Ovis aries: one gene and its partners. The protein of the gene in region 2 interacts with the protein of the main gene of each other region in a pairwise test. Links are inferred from orthologs where the notes say so. Each region holds a gene or a part of one and is shown on either strand. Other genes may lie near its edges. The genes, in order: BAHD1, KHDRBS3 and INPP5D.

Region 1 (3,389 bases), on a different chromosome or scaffold from region 2:
GACGTGCTTCCAAAATGCAGGGGACAGCTGAGCAGCATTAACTGCCTCCAAGGAACACCCCCAGCCTTAGACGACGTCCCACCTTGGACACAGTCAACACTGAGGCTTTGGGGCGAGGGCTGGATTGACTGAACCAATGGTCCAGGTTTGAGTCCCTGCCTCATGATGTGGCCTTCAATTCCTCGTGAGTGACAGGTGCAAGATGCCAAGGCCCTCAGTTTCTGCTGACCAGTTCTCCAGGGGCATGACTGAAGGTGATGAAATAGTATCTTCACCATGCAACCAATTGGAGGTGAGTTCCCAGGTCACCAGCCAGGTAAGAACTGGTGACCCGAGGATTTCCCTCAGCCCAGGCAGGTGGCTTCAGCTACCACGATGCGAAGAAATCAACTCCAAGTTGCCATTCCCTCTGTGTCCTCTCCTGCTGCTGCTCTCCACCCGCCCTCCTCTTTCCTGTGCTCTTGGCTTACTGGCCTCAGTGAGTCCTTGCACTGCAATAGTTAAGGAGCCCCTCCAAAATAAAGAGGTGTGAGCCCACACACAAAAAGATGACAGGACACGCAGAAAATGGTCCTTTTCTAAATCAATACAATGTCTCAAATTTATTTTTTTCTTAAAGAAGTACTTCTAATCTCTGTCAAAAGGGAGGTGAGGAAAGGCCCTCCCTCCCTTGTAAACACTGAAATACAGATCTGAGAAACCAGGGTCGACACACACAAAAAGTGCATTTTACAAAATATCAACTAAAATATATTTTACATGAATTATGCTTCCACTGAAATTCTACCAGCTGCATTTTCAGGTTCAAAAAATATTTCCACATCTAAGAGATTTCAAAAGCATTTAAGTTCTGGGCAATGGACCCCACCTCCCTGGAGGAGGCCTGACCTCCTCCTGCTGGGTGAGGCTGGGCTCCTTAGCAGCTCTCACTCTGCCACCCTCTCTTACTGCCCCACCCTCCTTGACTGATGTCTTCCTCCAAACAGCTTATTCAGTAAGAAGGGACCCAAGTTTCTTCCCTTGGGGTTTGAGATTGGGTTTCCCATGTGTGAATTCACCTCTGAATGGTCCAGGAGGAGCCGTCTGCGCAGGGACAGGGCAGGGCTGGGGACTGCTGGGTGTGCCCTCAGGGTTTGCTTCCACCTGCCTCTCCAGCTCCTGCCCAACTGTCCTCACCCACTGCAACCTCCTCAGCCTGTGGGGTCTGTCTGCCCCTCTCTAGGGGAGGGGGACCCAGTCCTGCCCTGCTTGGCTCCTGTCCCCAAGGTGGTACCCTGCAGAATTGCTGAGCATGCGCCCAACACCAGGCCCAAGCCACACTCCCTCTTCCCGTCAGGCTCCTCTTTGGTACAAATAGGAAAGAACCAGGCTGCTCCAGCCCCACAGAGTGCCCCAGGGCCAGGGCCTACTCCTGGCAAGGACAGCAGGGGGCTGAGCCTCCTAATCTACTCTGGGGAGTGGCATGAGGTGACAACAGGGCCCCTTGGCAAGAGGAACAAACTAAAAATGCAGGTCCTTAGCTCCTAGAGTGAGTGGCTGCAGCTCAGCAGGTCTGTGGACTGATACAGTGTTGATTCTTGCTGGGATGTAAATTAGTGCAATCTACAAAAGACTAGGGAAAGGGGTGTCAGGGGCAAAGAGAGCCACAGCACTCCTTTGGTTTGATTTCAGGTGGGTGTGGCTTGAAGAGTCATGTGTGAAGTTCTGCAAGAGGTTTCCTAGAACCTCCAAGTGTAAGGCAAGAGGAGAAGTCTTCAATAAATCAGGTAGCAATTTTCCTTGCCCCCTGCCCCCACCCCCTCCCAGCTCTCTTCTGCTCTCCCAGACATGACAAAGCCCGTGTTAATCAGTTAACTTCTGGGAAGCCAGACCTGCTGGGTGGCCTTCACCAGGAGGTGGACAGGAAGCTGACTCCCACGAGGGGGCCACACCCATGACTGTGAGGGCTGGTAACTTGTCCCAGCACCAAGGGCTACTGCAAGGGCAAAGGAGGAATGCCAGAGAAAGGCCCCAAGTCCAGGAAGAGAAAGTCAATGCTCTGGGAGCCAGACACTGGCTCTCCAGGCCTCAAAGGAATGGGCTCCGAGCTGTGCTAGAATCTGGGAGAGCCTGGTCCCAGGCTAATGGGGAGGCAGCGGGTCACAGTGGGTGAGGTAAAGCTGGCTCCCATGCCCCCTTGAAGGGCCCAGGGGAGGATCAAGAAGGGCATGGTTCCTGAAGGACCTTCCCCCAGTCCCTCCAGGGCCCATGCCCCTCAGGCTTGGCCCAGCCTCAGGGAAGACTGCTTCTTTAGGAGCCTCTGCCCGTGGACCCCAGAGAGGCACCCTGGGCCAAGCTGAGGGTTCTGATGCTTTTGTTATACCCTGACCTCCCCTTCCCTCCCATGGGGCCCAATCCCACAGGGGCCCCTGCCCTCCCCCACAAGAGAACCACAGGCCAGCCACCTTGAGCTCCTGTGGCCCCTTAACCAAGTGCTGTGCTTCAAGCAGTGCCCCCTGCCCTGAGCCCCATTTGCCCGTGGGCAGCCCCAGCATGGGTGTGAGGAGGCTACTGGGGGTTCTTGAGGATGCGGCCATGGCGGAAGTCATAAACATGGCGGCAAAGAAACACCAGCTCAGGGTCCGTGTCCTCGGGCACTGTGCGGTGTGGCGGGGTGGAGTAGTCCGCAGATGGGGGCACCAGTGCTGTCTTTCGGCTGGGAAGCCCCTCGCCCCGGCGCTTGGCCATGGCACAGAATCTGCAGTGACACACCATTCACAGCTGTCTTAGCAGGAAGACCAGTTCCTTCCCCACCCTGCCCAGAGAGCTGGACATCCCCTCCAGCCTCCCCAAGGGCAGCTGCTGCCTCCATTCCTGTCCTGGGGCTTATGCCCTCTCTGCCAACCACCACTCCATCTTCTTGGTCCCTGGGGACCCACACCTACTGAACCTCCCTACCAAACACCTGCCAGTTCTCCTTGATTGCCTTCTGACAGCAGTACTGTAACCATCCCCAACCCTGAAACTCTGTCCCAATTCACTCTGCCTCAAAAGGGGAACGATTTTATTTTTTTTCCTATAAAAATCAGATGATGGAAGCAGACTGGAAAAAAGTTCTAGGAGGTCAGGTCCAATGAGTCAAATCCCCTTGGGGATCACAGGCAACCCACGAATAGTCTGGGGAGTCTGAGGGGAGAGGCAAGCCAGGGGTACAGGGCGCCACCCACCTGCAGTACTCGGCAAAGGTCAGCACGTAGCACTTCTCTTCGATGCAGGCTACACTGTTCTGGTCTTGATGTCGCGATGCAAAAACTTCATTCTGCAAAGGCTCAAGGGGAGACAGAAGGAGGTTGGCTACCAGGGTGGGAAGCACCTAACTCCAAGAGCAAGATGGACATGAACTCTGCTGG
Region 2 (4,321 bases):
AATGCCACTTGTAATTCTGGAGTTACGTAACAGCATAATTAATATTTTAAATGATAGAGCTCTGCATTCCAGAAAGCAGCCTGTGATTTAAGGGGAAAACATTTCAGTCTGAAGAAATCTAAATTAACAGTAATAAGAATATCTGAATAAGTTACTTCCCTAACTGTTCAATGTAAGAAATGTACCTCTTGCAAGAATTACATTTTTGATGAAAAAGTAAGGTAATCAGGTTTAACACCTAAAAAAAAAAAACAACTAAATGGCAACATTGCCCAAGATCTGTTTCAAATAATTGGAAGCAATTACCACAGGTAAAAACAAAGAAACCAAAAGAATTCCAAATGTATTAGCAAAATGAATGCCACAGCAACCTGGCACAGAAAATTAGTTCTGACTTTCAAAATAAGATAACTTACTACACTTTTGTTAAAACTGCTTCTTTAATTGAGTACAACCTAACTTTGACTCAGCTTCTTTATTCAGAAAAATACACTTCATTCCACAATCCAGAATATTTCTAATGCCAATGATCTCACACAACGTACAAAGAAATTTCTTTCATAGAGATGACAGCCCAGCAGGCAACAAAAGATATATGTAAATCACAAAGAGAGAGGAGTACAAACCCAACTGTTCACAAGAGCATGGCAATAAAACTTAAAATTCGCTTTCTGCAACGCATAGCCATTACTTTTTCACAAGCCCGTTTTATTAAAGAAATAAAAATAAGCCTACAATTAAAATGGGAAAGCTCAGTGAACCCATCTCTGTTCAACAAATTAAATACCAAGCTTAAATTCTTGCAGACAGTCAGTCCCTCCACCAAGACCCTCACTCGACCACACACACACCCTACTAGGAAGAACGGGTTGCAATAGGCAAATACCGGAGGTCGCTATTGTAAAATATAGACACCTATATTCAAATAGAATATGTCTGCCTCATCTTCCACTTTCAACAATCAAAAAGCCAGGGTCAGCATGAAGATCAGCAGACCCGGCTGAGTCGGGAACCACAGACCCTCAAGGCACAGTGATTCGTGCAAAAGGTAACAGATCTGACGGGATAACCTCTGCCGGATGGTCTGTGCCATCACCCAGAGAAAAAGCATACCAACGGCTCCCAAACCCATCTTTATCTGAAACACGCATTCCAGATCCAGGAGGGGATGAAGGACATCGCTCTGGGGAAGGCGGGCTTCATTTACCGTCCATCCCGGCAGATTACTCGGGAAGCTGGAGAAGGAACAAGCCAGGGAACGCCGTCCTGGGCGGGCACGCCTCCGTACGCCGGGGCACCCCGCGTCCGGTACTTCCCGGGGCGGCTCACGCCCTGAGCTGGCCCGAGGCGCGCTAAAATGGCACAAGCAGCAAAGGCTCCTTGGCCAGTGTTCTCAACCCCGAGCCGGCCCCCAGTGAGGGTGACCCACCCAGAGCCTCCCAGAGAGAGGACAGGCAAGTCAAGAAGCAGACTCTCCTGCGTGGGTCTCTTCCCGCCCCCCGATGACTCTCCAAGGGCCGGCCTGCAAGGCTAGGTGTGAGCTGCCCACCCGCGGGGAGGGCGGCGAGAGCCCGGACCCGCGAGAGAAAGAGAAAGAGAGAGAGAGAGAGAGAGAGAGAGAGGAATGAAGAGGGAACCGGGAAAGCGGGCCCTGCTCCTCCAACGTGCCGGGGGTTCTGACCCCAAACCTCTTCCGAGGTCCTCAAACTTCACCAACAATCCAAGCACCTGTTCCCTTCACCTCTTCTGCTTCCGATCCCCTCGAATCCTTCCATTTTCCTCGAGTTCTTTCTCCAGCTCTCTAACCAAACGCAACTAGTTCCCTGGTGCCCCCCACCGCCCCATTCTCCCCTCCAATGAGCTCATTCAACCCCCGCCCCAACGAAGCCCCCAGATGCTCGTGGTGCCCCACCCGCAAGTTTCCCTGGGGTACCCTCGAGTCCCCCACAGATTCCCTTCAAGTCGCATCCAAACGCCCAGCCTGCCTCCCTTCCCGCGTCTCCCCACAACGCGCACACAACACTCCGGCTTCCCCTAGGTGTCCCACATCCCCACCCGAATCAGCGCCCCCCGCCAGATTGCGACCTGGGTCCCCTCCGGTCGCCCCGAGGTCGACGGCCAGCTCGCTGCCACGGCTCCGCACCCCCCAACACCTGCGCCTCGCCCCCGGGCCCGACGCCCCCCAGTCTCCAGCCCCCCACCCCTCCCCCCAGCCCGCCGCTCCCGGGTCCCCAACGGCCGTGGGCGACCGTTAACGGTCGGTCGGTCGGTCGGCCAGCCGGCCGGCGCGCGCCCTCACCTTGGTTCACCAGCCGCAGGGCGTGCGTGAAGGATGGGTCCAGGGAGTCTTTCTCCGCCATCAGCTCCGGCAGGTACTTCTCCTCCATGCTCGCCGGCCGCCCGGGCCCGGGACGCGGACTCCAGGCGGGCGGGCGGCGGCGGCGGCCCCGCAACCCCCGACCCCGCCCGCGCCCCAGCGGCGCGGAACCCGGGCCGGACGCCGCGGTGGGGCGGCGCGGGGCGCGGCGGAGCCAAGCCGAGCAGTCGGCCCGGGGACGGCGGCGGCGGCGGAGGCGGTGGCGGCGGCGGCGGCGCGGGGCGGGAACCGGCCGCGCAGCCCTGGTCCCCGGGGGTTGGCCGCCGACGGCCCCGCGCTGGCGGCCGCCGCCTCCCAGACGCGGGCTCCGCGCTCCCGCCACGGGCCGGAGCGATCAGGCGGCCCTCCGGCCGAGCCGGCGGCGCGCTCCGCGAACTGGACACAGTCCCCGGCGAGCCCCGCCAGCCGGCGCCGGCGCGGAGCTCAGCAGCGACCCGCACGCCGCGCGCCGCCCCGCGCTCTCTGAGCCGCGGAGCCGAGCGCCCGGCCCCGCCCGCCGCGCCCGGCCCCGCCCCGCCCGCCGCGCCTGCGCACTGTGCCCCGCGCCCTGCCGCCCGCCGCCCGCTGCGGCGCGCCGCCTGGTGGGGCCGCTCCCGGCTACGCGACCGAGCCCGGGAGGGGCGTCCCGGGGGCCTCCCGCCGGCGCCGCGCCGGTCCGCAGCTCCCTGGGAGGCGTGCGCGGAGCGCCGCGCGGCTCGGCCACGGCGGGCCGAGACGCAGAACCCGGGCAACTGCGCCCAGAGAGGTCAAGCGGCTCGCCCAAGGTCACCCAGCGAGCGATCCCGGGAGGAGGGCTGCGCGCTCGGCTCAGGGGCCGGGCGGAGAAGGACGCCGAGGAGCACCCGGGCTCGCCGCCGCGGGCTCTGGGAAAGGGCGGCGGGGCGAGCTGCCCTGCTCTCAAGCTCCCTGGACTTCCATAACTTAGCTCGCTTTGCCTCCCCTGCTCCTGTTTGCTAGGAAATAACGTGGGCGCCCAGCCGTCCTGCCTCGGTGGGTGCCTCTTGCGCTCAGCGCCAACCCGTGAGACCCTTGGAACCGAGGTCGATTACATAAAAGCGCGTGCCCTTCAGGTCGGCTTTGTCATTCCGCTTGCCGCCGGGTTGTCATTCTCTTCGCGCAGAAATCCGCCGAGTCCGGAGGCGGGGCAGGGAGCCGCAGCCCGTCCCCTCTGGGGCGCAGTCCCCTGGACGCACGTGGGTGCTGCCGTCCTCCTTTCGTTTACGCACAGCCACCCACCTCGACAAATCCTCCATCGGACCGTTTTCAGATATCCCAGGTAGAGTCAGTGGCGGGGCCCGAAGACTCCGAGTCTGTCCTGCCTTTGCCCCATCATATCCCACCTCAAGTCCGGGCCTCTACGTCCCTGTTCTTGGACAGCCTTCCAGGACTTCCCCAACAAAGTGGTACCTGTTCTGTGTCCCACCAGCGCTGGTCAGGCCTCACTCACGGAGAACTCTGATTCTGTTTTCCCCAGACCATGAGCACCTCACAGACAGGGCTAGAGCTTTCTTTTATGGGGAAGGATCCCCAGCACCTAGTGGCCTAGGACGGGTGTAGGGGCACCAGAAATGTGTGATGAAGGAATAAGCCATAGACATGCCACTCCTCTGGGAGCAGGTCTTCCTCCCAAGCCCCCAGGCAACTGGCTGTACTCTTGATGCAAATAGAGGTGACAACACCCAAGGGGGGCCTCCCTGATGGCATGGGAGGAAGAATCCACCTGCCAAGGCAGGAGATTCAGGGTTCAATTCCTGGGTTGGGACGATGCCTTGGAGAAAGAAATGACAACCCACTCCAGTATTCTTTCAGTCCGTGAGATCGCAAAGCATCAGGTGGGACACGATTTAGTGACTGAGCACACACTATACCCAGAGATGCTTGGGGCGGGAATCAAGGAGCTCTACGCTGCTCTAGGTCCCAGCCCGAAGTGTGAACTTCCTTCAT
Region 3 (4,029 bases), on a different chromosome or scaffold from region 2:
GCCTTTTGACTTTTTCTGTTTTGTTTTTTAAGAGCACGTTTTTCCTGCCTTTTCGGTGCCGTTAAAGGATGCTTTCATGAAATGAACGGCTAAAAGGTGGCAGTTAGATATCACTTAGCTAGGTTTTCGTTTTTAAATCTCTTTAATTGGCAACATTAAAGGTGGTGGCAAAAGGAGGTCTCCCAGGGTTTTGGAAAGTTCGGCGGTTCGTGGTATCCCACATCCTACAGGGGTTCCTGCCCCTGTGGGAAGCTGACTTCCCCCCACAGAGCCAAGGGGAGAGGGGAGCCCTGGGCCTGGAGTTAGTGCCTGGCCTCATGGCTGGGCTCCCTGGGGAGGGCTGCAAGGCCTGCTGTCTGGAGCTAAAGGGGCCTTGGGGCTGGGAGACTGACAAGAAACCCAGCCCTGGACTCAGAGGATGGTGGATATGGGGTGGGGTGTGGGCCACGGATACCCTCCCGAGGAGGCAGACCCCGCACAGTCGCCAAGGCTCCAAGAGTAACTCAGCACCAGGGAGGGGAGGGAAGAAGACGCAAAAGAGAGGAACGGGTGCCACACACCCTCTGGGGTCCCAGTTTGCCACCAGCCAGCCCAGCAGCGTGGGGGCTCCCCTGGTGGCCCCCACGCTTAAGAATCCGCCTGTAAAGCAGGAGACCTGGGTTCGATCCCTGGCTCAGAAAGATCCCCTGGAGAAGGGAATGGCAACCCACTCCAGTATTCTTGCCTGGGAAATCCCAGAGGAACCTGACAGGTATACAGTCCATGGGGTCGCAAAGAGTCGGACACCACTGAGCAACTAACACACACACACACAGCAGGGCGGCGTGGACAGAGGCCTCAAGCTCTCTGAGGTCTGCCCACTTGCAAAGTCAGGGGCGGTGGGCCTAGAGGTTTCATGGCTTTTCCTAGCTCTGTCTCTGGCTGGCACAAGGCTCCCAGTTTAGAGTCAGAGACCCACGTTCCAATCTATAGCCTGAGCCTGACCACAGCTCCCTGGTCAAGGGGGTGCTGTGAAGGTTAGTGAGCTGGAGCCTGGAAGCTCCCGAGGTCTCTGCGGGGAGGGGAGAGCTGCACGTGGGCTGAGGGGAGACAGAGCAGGATGTCCCCACTGTCTCTACGCCCTGTCTCTACAGAGGGGCTGTGCCTGTGGGGAAGACTGGGTCTGCTTCCCTTTCCCCCCACCCCGGGTGTGAGAACTGGGGGCTCAAGAAGCTGGCCTCGGGAGGGCGAGGCTCTGATGCAGTCAGACCTTGGGCCAGGTGGCCGGCTAAAAGCCTGGGTTAATTTCTAAACACTCCCAGTTGACCCCGGTAAACACCCTGGCTTCTCTCGCTGCCACTGGAACCCAGGCTCACACCGGCTTGACAGGTACAGGACTGGGGTGGCAGCCATCTGTCTGCCTGGGTGCAGCCTCTGGGGACGGACATTGTTGACTTTGTCATCGCTCGGTTAACTCGTCTGAGCCTCAATTTCCTCATCTGCAAAAGCGGCCAACAAAAGGACCTGCACTTCAGATTTTCACGAGGTTGAAATAGGTTGATACACAGACAAATGCTCAAACTCAACAAGCTCCAAATACAGTCTGTGGTCCATGACCCATTTCCCTCCTGCATGGATGGTGGTAGGGTCTGCCTGCTCAGAGGGACCCTTCCGCAAGCCCAGGGGTGCTACCTCAGCAGTGCAGGTGAACGTGCCCTTCCCCCATCATGCCCGAGGCCCCAGCGGGCATGGTTAGACCGCAGGGTGGCAGAGTGGCAGGGCCAAGGGCCTCTCTCAGACATTGGTGGAGAAGGGTGTTACAAAAAGGAACCGTCAGCAAGTGGCCGGTTCCCCAGTTTTAGGACAACTGGTGCATTCAGCAGCATCCCAGAGCTGGGGGCGGGGGGGGGGCAGTCGACGGTGGCCGACAGGCCTCAAAAGGCGGGGACACGGCTGAGGGCCTTGGACGGGTGAGAAGTGGCTCCTGCTGTAGGTAACATGACTTGCTCTGTTCCCAGGGCCCCAGATACAGCCTCTGATCCTTTCTTGAGCGACTCCCCGTCTTCACAGCTCCCCAGACAACAGCTTCCTCCAAAGGCCCATACTCTGGCACAGGAAGGGTTCCCGCTTCCCACTTCTGTTCTTCCAGGAGGGTTTCCCAACTGGGCATCTTTGACCAACACCTGAACTGACCCAGCTGCTTTCTAACACTCCCACCACCACGGAGCCCTGAGTTTCCGCCCGGCTCACAGGCCCTGGACAACCCGCCCCCCACCCCCTTGGTCCCTGGAACCTCAAGGAAGCCCCTGGCCCTGCTGCTTGCTGGTCGCTGGGGTGTGTGGCCCAGATCCCAGGCTAGCCCTGGAGGGCTCCTGCTCTCAAAACCCCAACTCCAGGGCCAAGCAGGTCCCCCGACGGGCCTCAGCTGGACCCACTAACAAACTTGGGAAGCGCAAGGTCGCTGGACACAGAAACAACCCCAACCCAGGGCAGGGGCCCCAACGTGCCCCGAGCCAGCTTGCCCTGTGCACAAGCGGCACCTCCATCACCTCCGCTGCCAGGCCGGGCCGGGGTGGGCAGGTCGGGTACTCACAGCACACAGAGGGCGTAGGCCCGGGAGATGGACTCGCTGGCACGCACGAGGAAGCTCCCATCCTTGCCCGTCCTGGAGAGCAGCTCCTCTGCCTTGGAGCGGGTGATGTTGCCATGGTTCCAGCAGGGGACCATGGCGGGCGCGGGTGTCCCCGGGGCCGGGCCCGGCGGCCTCACCACTGGACCGGACACCGCGCCGACGGGGGAGCTGGGCGCTCCTGCGCTGGACCCCCGTGGGTTCCCTCTCAGTCGCCCCAGCTGCTGCTGCCGCCGCCACCGCTCACTGGCCGACTTCCTGTTTCAGGCACTCGGCAAGGGAAAGGAAGCTGAGCTGCAGAGAACTTCCTCATTGCAGAGCCCAAGCAAGACAGTCCTCCACCTCCCCCCTCACGGCCTGCTGCCCCTCCCTCTCACCACCACCCCCAGCCCTGCCGTGTCCCCCACCCCCGGCTCCCTTCTTTAATGGGTCTTGGTCCCTGGCATGGGGAATATCAGCTCGAGTCCTCCTAGGGGAATCTATCAGCTCCTCTGGCGTCAGGAGGCTCAGGGCCAGCCTCTGAAGGAGTGAGGCCCAAGGGTTGGCCATTCTGGGACCCATGACCCGATGCCCCGAGTGGGGCTGCCACGCCGAGGACGCCCACCCCAGCCCTCTGCCCTACCCCTGAGCTTTCCACCTCCCTGTCCACTCCCTCTGACATGCCCGCAGGTCGGAGGCTCACAGGGTCGGGCTTCTCAACTGGGGCTGAGGCCTGCCCCACTACCCCCGCCGAGGTGGGTACCAGCCGAGCCCCCTACTCATACTGAGACACACCTGGGCACCTTTCAGCCCTGGGAGCTGGGAAGACCTTGGGCGACACCACCCGGGAGCTCCCCGGGGCCAGCTCTGCAACACTTTTATACCCATTGTGGGGGCCGGCGGGTATGTGGGAGCCCGTGGCAGCCCTTCTCCAGGGCAGCACATGTGCCTGACCCCTGTAGCCCAGCTTAGGGACACGCAGAGGGAGCTGGGAGGACTCTCGGGACATGGACCTTTTGCAGGTTGACACCTCTGGAACTTTCTGGGACACTTGGGACACTCACGCATGTCCCCCTATCCCTGGGGCAAGTTGGCCACCTGGCAAGGATGGCGTTCCTTCCTGAGTCCCACATCTCAGGTAGAGTTGGAGTTGGAGGTAGAGGTGGCCAGGCATGGTTACCTTGGTCCACAGCTCAAAGTGAGGGCTGCCTTTGGGGAGGTGGGGACCACCATCCAGGATCAGCAGGCTCTGAGGGCTCTGAAGTGGGCACCATGCTTGGACCCCAGACGGGGAGCCCTTAGTGCTTGGGTCAGTGCCCCAGGGTGAAGGGGCAGGTGCCGACCTATTGCACAAGACCCCTGGTCCTGTCTCAGCCCTCAGCCAGCCCCGTGACATAACAGAAGAAGCCGCATCCAGGCACCAGGGCCAGGCAAGCCCCAAC

The links.
Region 1: the proteins of KHDRBS3 (region 2) and BAHD1 interact in binary tests that used the Homo sapiens proteins (3 or more experiments, as listed by UniProt). The two-hybrid records come from large-scale screens. The link is inferred for Ovis aries from reciprocal best matches to the Homo sapiens genes KHDRBS3 and BAHD1.
Region 3: the proteins of KHDRBS3 (region 2) and INPP5D interact in binary tests that used the Homo sapiens proteins (3 or more experiments, as listed by UniProt). The two-hybrid records come from large-scale screens. The link is inferred for Ovis aries from reciprocal best matches to the Homo sapiens genes KHDRBS3 and INPP5D.

What each region holds. Positions count from the first base shown.
Region 1 is NC_056060.1:34,276,758-34,280,146, reverse strand, and holds the end of BAHD1 (bromo adjacent homology domain-containing 1 protein), read right to left. Parts: intron 3,308-3,389; coding exon 3,207-3,307; intron 2,738-3,206; coding exon 2,548-2,737; 3' UTR 572-2,547; downstream 1-571.
Region 2 is NC_056062.1:19,608,841-19,613,161, forward strand, and holds the start of KHDRBS3 (KH domain-containing, RNA-binding, signal transduction-associated protein 3), read right to left. Parts: upstream 2,842-4,321; 5' UTR 2,388-2,841; coding exon 2,300-2,387; intron 1-2,299. UniProt on the Homo sapiens protein: RNA-binding protein that plays a role in the regulation of alternative splicing and influences mRNA splice site selection and exon inclusion. Binds preferentially to the 5'-[AU]UAAA-3' motif in vitro.
Region 3 is NC_056054.1:7,901,879-7,905,907, forward strand, and holds the start of INPP5D (phosphatidylinositol 3,4,5-trisphosphate 5-phosphatase 1), read right to left. Parts: upstream 2,870-4,029; 5' UTR 2,707-2,869; coding exon 2,573-2,706; intron 1-2,572. UniProt on the Homo sapiens protein: Phosphatidylinositol (PtdIns) phosphatase that specifically hydrolyzes the 5-phosphate of phosphatidylinositol-3,4,5-trisphosphate (PtdIns(3,4,5)P3) to produce PtdIns(3,4)P2, thereby negatively regulating the PI3K (phosphoinositide 3-kinase) pathways.